Linked DNA regions of Drosophila melanogaster. The protein of the gene in region 2 interacts with the protein of the main gene of each other region in a pairwise test. Each region holds a gene or a part of one and is shown on either strand. Other genes may lie near its edges.

Region 1 (3,301 bases), on a different chromosome or scaffold from region 2:
CGACGGCTGGCAGCTTTCCGCCCTCACCAATGGCACTGTGCGTCACTACGATTTCTATCGCGACAGAGAGTTACCCGTGGAGGAGCTCATGGACACACGCCTCAAGGTGACGGACATTGCCGGTGCTCGAAGTTGTGGACAGGAACAGGTTCTGCTCATCCTGGACTCGACTGGAAAGGTGCAGTCGCGCACTCTGGACTACTAGCTTGTTAAATATTTTCTAATTATTTGTATGCGTTTGTTGAAATCATTTTTTAAAATGAAATAAACTCGAACTAGTCCTACTCACTTTTAATCAATTTTAATGGTTTCTATTGCACAATTTGTGATATATAAATGATATATATATGACTTTATAGAACTATAGTACTAGCACTAGCAAAATACTCTATATAGATGGGCCAATATTTATATATCTGAATAACATATTTTTTTAAGGGACACCTGCATATGCATACATATATTATTAGAATATCCTTAGTATTTATTTTAAACATTTATTAACATCAAACTAAATAATCTCACTAGCTTCCCTCATTGATATGTACACTTTTCCATCTGATCCCGCAGAGTGGTTCACACCTGCCTGGCCATGGACAACATGCCGCCGGCTGTTGTGGCTCCGAGGAGCTGGCGCACCGTTTGCAGTTCATCCCGCAGCGCCAGGACCTGCGCCCGCAGAATGGAGTTCTCCTGCTCCAGCAGCGCTGCTCGGAATGCTATCCTATCCTCGCGGATTTTCCGCGCATCTCTGGACCTCTTGGCCGCCTCGTTGTTTCGCTTGCGCCGCTCAAAGTACTTGGCATCCTTTTGAGCCTCCGGAATGGGTCGCTTTTCACCGCGGACGCGACGGTGCACAAAACCCGGAAACATACCGCCTCCAATTACGCCCACACGATTGAGCTCCATCAGCGGAAATTCCAGTGCCTGGAGAGCGTGACTTGGTGGTGCGATATACTCGAAGGCGGGTAGAGTTTCCGACGATCTCTTGGCACCGATCATGCCGGGAAAGCCCAGACCGGTTAGCCGAAGATTCTGGGGAATGGAAATGGAGTAGGACGGATTGTTCTTGGACTCCAGTTCCGCATCCAGTTCGGAGTGCATCGATACGGTCTCGGTGACATCCAAAATGGGCGACTGGGCGGGCGAGTGCATCCTATATCGGTGACTTCCGTTCGCGCCGACGGCCGGGCTATATCTGAATCCAGCTCCTGGCTAAGAAGCTAGCTACTGGCGAGGCGACCACCTGCCTGCCGTGGTAATTATAGGTTCTTGTCACACAAACTCCCCCACGTACACACACACACACACACATACACCCGCTTTGGGGCTAATTCTAAGCCAGCCACAACCCTCCATCGCCGGCTGATTCAACCAATCACGCAATGTTGACGGTAATTATTCGTCAAATACATGACACTTGGCCGGGGCCGCATGGCATTTATTTGTGCTGCCCGGTTACAAGGACTTCATATAACTGGTTAGCCAGATTACATGCCCCCAGCCCAGTCCAGTCCACCTCTCCCCGCTCGCCGATCACTTCTTGGCCCTTGGAGTTGACCAACTGTTATGTGTTGGGGCGGAGATAGTAAGGCTTACCCATTGTCCATGCGCTGACCAATGAGAGTGACCCTTGGCTATCGACCGGCATTTTGTGGACGAATATAACAGCGATAACAGCGGTAATAGTCTGAAAGAGGCGTGGTGGAAGCCTACTTGCACTCACTGAAAGTTATCCTTTAGGATATCTTACTATATAGCAAAACATGGGGTAATGTAAAATGTAAATCATGAATATGCAATTTTTAGTCATTACATTAAAATGAAGCCATCTTATTTGAACCATTATACAATAGATATACTTTTTTTGATCCTTAAACTGATAGTTCTTGTAGATTCCTATCACTCCAAATCATTTTATCAGATATTCTAGGCATAATATATCTTCAATTGCTCTATGTGAACTTTTTATTTCCGAGGTTTTTTGAGACTTAAAGGATTTTTCCAGCGTGTACCAATCGATTTCAATAGTCCTAAGAGGAATAGCTTCTGCTCCTTTTTAGCTGAGCTCCAAAAACTGCAGCGTCAGAAAGTTGCAATATGCCTAATCCGCTATTATTAAGACATCAAAAAGTTGTTACCAACTTTATTTTGATCAAGCATGATTCTTCAAAATCGTAAAATTTTACTTGCCTTCCGACAATGCCACTCACGACATCCAAGACCACCGTATGCATATCCAACAACCATCGACATGTAAATGAACTCCGTGTGTCGTCTTTAACCCGTTCCGTTTCGTTTCGGTTTGAGAAAGTGTCACCTGTTTGTTTGCCGGGGTGGTAAATTGGCAGTTTGGGTCACGGAGTCCTTGCCGTCTCCGGCAACCGGAAGTCGCATCCTTATGGCGTTTCATAATGTATGCGCTAATTTATTATCTGTTGGCAAAAGTTTGGGCCATACATAGTTAACCCTTTGACTGTCATGCCACCGATGTTTCGTTTATGGTGTTTTGGCCCAACTGAGAGCCGAACCCGGAAATAATGGATTGCGTGCCGGAGTGACATGTCTGGAGAATTGGAGGCAGTCTAATATCCATCAAAGGGTCGAGCGAGATGGATTCGAAATGCACACATATAGAAAGCAGTACGTTTTGGAATCGGTTTGAATTGGTTGGCATTACCAAACCACCAAACTTCTACTCTACGGACTGAGTTCGATTTTTTTTTACCCACCCCGGGGACCCATTGCTAATGCATTGGGAGGATCGTTTTGGACATAGGCTATTAATGCGTTAGACAAATTACCGGGTAATCTAGACAGTAGAACACGTTATTGCTTCGTTGTTTGTTTGGTCAGTAATTGAAGAGCAAACCTCGTGGACTTCGCGGTGGACAAACCGTTAATGACACCTTTAATTGGATGACATTAGCACCCGGGGGTCTGGGGCATGACCAAGTGGGCCCTGCCCCCATCCTACAGTCAAAGCATAGGCTTCGCTTAGCCTGTCTCTCGGAATAGTATTCATCTAACAAGTATTCATCGAACAAGGAAATCGTATTTTTATAAGCAACGAAATGTGTGACGAAGGATCGATCAGGGAATGTGAGCCCACCACCTTGCGGCTTCCTTTCAACAGCTACCACATCAATTTGCCGCTATATATTTTGGACATGGTGCGCATCTTCCAGGATCATCCCAAGTACAGCAATGGTATCCACGAGGAGCACATTCTGGAGATGCTGGAAAAGGAGTAAGACAGATCGAGTAATATACTTAATGGTAATGGTAATGCTAATCATCT
Region 2 (4,121 bases):
ACGGAAGTTCAAAAGAGCAAAGAGCATGTAACGATATTTCGGTTCCCTTTTCAGCCATTCCGCATGGCCCTACGATTGCGGGCAACAAATTTGCAATAAGCTATTTTTCAATTTTCAATTTAGGCACCAAGGCGGGTGGACAAGGATATGCAAAGCGGCGACCACATATCGCCGAGCCATAATTCAACGCGAGTTGCCACAATCGCATTCGACCCAAAGGACAAATGAGAGTCCTGCGAGTGACCCAAACCGTCAGTCAGGCGTAAAGCGCTAATAATTAACAGCGATTCTGCTTTACCGACGAACTAAGCACCCATCGACATGGAAGCTTTATTTACGAATCCGTCCAGAAGGTAATTCTAAAACTTATTTTTTAGATTTTCCGACATCAGCAGAACATCCAAACTGATTCCCATGATGCACGCCACGCATGGAAATAATGGAAGCAGATGCTTCTTCTAAAATCTCTGAACTTATTAGGAAGAAGACAGAGTGCAGTCCACATGCACAATGTCTTCCTTGTAAGACTCTTTCCTGGAGTTTATATTGAAGCAATTGACCATCAGCAGGCAAAGAAGTTGGGTGTCCATGGAGGCCACTCAAAGTAGGAACACTACTGAAGTGACAAAGCCTTGCCGATAGTCATGGGTCAGTAGAAGTTTATTATATTACATATCTGATAATCTGATCAGGAAAGCTGGTCACGAAAGCTGCTTAAAGTCCATCGAAATGAAATATTACTACCTTATACCATAGGTAACACGAAACACATTCATGTGTTTGATAATGGATTCAATGTTTTATTAGTTTCTCAATAATTGTTTCACACCATGTAGTGTCGTATATCAAGATTGCGTTCCCTTAGCTTCAAATCGATCCACTGCCGGTACAACTTGACGTTTGTGTAAATTCCAAGAAGTTGCGGGCCATCGCAGCGAGCCGTGCGGGTCAAAAGACCGGCCAGGTGGAAACGATCATCGTGACCGGAAAGAGGACACATCAGCGGCACAGCGGTCATGTCCACATCACCGCAGACGAAGTCACCCTTGTCGCCGCCGGCACACAGCAGGCTATCGTTGTGGGCGTGGCGTCGCCCCAAGAGGGACAATCGCAACTTGGTCCTGCATTGATCGGGTGGTAGGACGTAGAGTGTCCAACGCTTGGGCAGGATTGCAGCTCTACCAAAATCACTCCTCTGCCAACCGGACACATAGCACTGGCTGTAGTTGTACATTATTCGCGGAGGCGGCAAGCAAATGGGCTGTACATTAGGAGCCAGCTGGAAAGGTTTCTCCTTGTCCACCAGAAGTATCGCTATGTTGTGGGCCAATGGCATTTGAGTGTAATTGGGATGCACTAATGTCTCAACAACCGATCTTTGCTGGTGCGGCTGGGGCTCCAGCTCCACGGCGGCATCCCATTCCCCGGCCAACAGACGAACCTTCTCCATTTCCGAATTCTGAACGCAGTGCGCGGTGGTGATCACCGCCAGCGGAGTGATAAGTGCTCCACTGCAGAGATAAGTATCCGACCCGTAGACCGCCACCAACCAGGGAAACTCCCCGAACTTGGCCTCTTGCTGTTTATATCCCAGCGGTCGAAGGTAGTACCAGAGATCATGGCGTCCTCCACACGGGCAGCTCATCATCTCCTCTGGAATTTTCGGAGTCGGGAGCTGTTGGTATAAAAGTTCGACTTTTAAAAACTTATTGATTTGATTTTACTTCAGGCAATTAAATGAAATTAAGTTAAATATAACAACAGTGTTAAGTGCTTGGCCGCTAGAAACTGAAAAACAAACGAATTTTTTTCGTAATATGGGTAAAATATATCATACAAATTTAAATTGTCAGCTAGCATAAAAAAATGGTTGATTTCTTTGCATCAGGTAGGGAATAAAAGAATTTTTTCGATAAATCGCTTTATTTTTTTGACCGGTTGTAACCAGTTAATCATTAAATGTGGCTGCAATTCAGAAAGCCAACCGGTTTAAAATCCAAAAGGTATTAAATTTAAGAGCGTCGAATCAAGGATTGTTTGTTTTTTTATTTGATTTAATTCCAATGCGATTTAAACCATTTTTTTAGTCAAGTTTTTGATACCGCATTCCGGAAAACTTTATGAAAATCGTAACTTTTTCAATACTCACTTTATCGGGGATATTACAGCACTTTTCCATATAGTGACAATTCTCATCCAAAGTCGTTCTGCTGCGATCCGGATAGAATTTTCCGTCCACCATTAAGCCCTCGTTGCACTGCTCGTAGGGAACGCAATGCTTTTCCGGTCCGCAGACTTTGGATGCCGCTATGGAGGGCACTAGGGAGCCTAGAAGACAGATGACCACAATCCGATAGAAGCACATATCCGAGGATTCCGATTCCGATTCCGTCCCTGAACAGGTGCCTTCGCCTTGCACTTGAACTGCGCAACTGGGCGACCGATGGCTTTTATAGCCTCGCCAAAGTTCAAGCCGTACACACCGATTTGATTGGGCAAAAAATAGATTGCGATCCATTAAAGTGCTAAAAATAGTCGACATTGTGCTGGGAAAAAAGGGGCTGGACCTGGACAATATGACAATTGGTTTCGGCGGCAATGCACTGAGAAAATATAATCACAGTTTATAATACATTCTAGGCCAGCAAATGGTATTTGCAGTTATTGGTTCTAGCAAAAGATAGATTTGATAGATAGTTCTGTCCTTAAAGATACTTTGTGAAGTTGTCCCTTGGAAAGGGTATCCACTCTATGCCCAATTACGCAGATGTATCTGGCACTTTCCTTAGTCTGCCGCCACTTACACGTATCCATATCTATTACATTCGAATGGGACTGAAAGTGGGGGAGGATGCGGATCAGCTGTGCACTGGCTTAGGGATTGTGTCATATCTTAATGTACAATCGTCGCCTAAGTGCACGTAAATTGAATAAAATTTCGACAAAGTTTAATACACCAGACATGCACATGCACACAACACTCTGAGGAAAATGAGGTGGCGACAAGATGGCTTGGGTTTTTCCGGGCAGAAATCTGCAGTTTGCCTGCCATTCGATAGACAACACCCAGCTTTCAGCATCTGGACAAATGTATATATATATATATATATTTGATGCACCGACTTGTTTAGCTGAGATTTACGCAACTTAAGCAGATTGTCAACAGGAATTGTGAGGTATGAGTTCGAATCGAGGACCCTGAGGTGGGCGAACAAGAATGCCAGGAGGAGAGTACATGCGTCAAATGTGTAGAAAGTTAACGTGTCCTGTGCCTGCCTGCTGGTCCTGTGCGAAACTTAATTTGTTCCATCGTGTTGCAACACTTCTGAACAGATGTTATCCTCGAGGAAATGAATCCTGTTATTGTTGCTGGCCGTCCACTTAAAACAGATTTATGAACATGTCACACCCTCTTCACTCGCCATCGATTCCCCCTTGCGGTGGCAAATATTCAATTATTATGAAAATTTATTATTCAACCAATTGTGCTGGGCGGATCGGAAGTTCATTTTGCATGAATGGGATCAAAACTGTTTGTAAATTGTGCTGTGCATCCGTATGAATCGCTTTTTATGCGCCAATAATACATATACCAACCGCAAAATGCCATCATCAAAGGATGGTTCTTATGCAATTTGCAATCACAATTTAAATAGATAAAGTATAAGCAATTGCATTAACATATTAATATATAGCATTAATCGAATCCTTGTGGTGTGAATTAAATGCCAGTCATAAAAAATTCGAATTTTAAGAAAATTTAATTGTGACTATATGAATGCTTCCATGCCAATAATACAGTTCCATATATTAAATATAATTCAGAGAATTAAACATATTAAATTAGTCTAACCACAGTAACTTTAAGCATTGATAAGTGTCACTAAAATGGCATTTAACATTTGAGTATTATTTCTGCAACTTTTTAAACTCATTCTCAGTTTTTTGTCTCAATTGAGTGTTTTGATTGAGTGGGTGTTTTTAACTCTCTTAGCTGCATATTCCTCCCTTAAATGCAGTTTTTTTTAGCTCAACTACCAATTGAGTGAATGTTAACGGAATGTTAACTGCAATCTCAAGACTCAAGCGCAGTTCTGAGTGAGTCAAATATGTGGCTTTGA

What was found.
Region 1: the proteins of CG9377 (region 2) and CG7786 interact in a two-hybrid assay, tested with the Drosophila melanogaster proteins (one large-scale study listed by BioGRID).

Annotation. Positions count from the first base shown.
Region 1 is NT_033778.4:16,233,782-16,237,082, forward strand, and holds CG7786 (uncharacterized protein), read right to left. Parts: upstream 1,156-3,301; coding exon 577-1,155; downstream 1-576. Other genes in the region: CG15701 (uncharacterized protein), read left to right, coding at 1-205; CG3687 (uncharacterized protein), read left to right, coding at 3,075-3,250.
Region 2 is NT_033779.5:13,359,119-13,363,239, forward strand, and holds CG9377 (uncharacterized protein), read right to left. Parts: upstream 2,448-4,121; 5' UTR 2,366-2,447; coding exon 2,150-2,365; intron 1,676-2,149; coding exon 824-1,675; 3' UTR 783-823; downstream 1-782.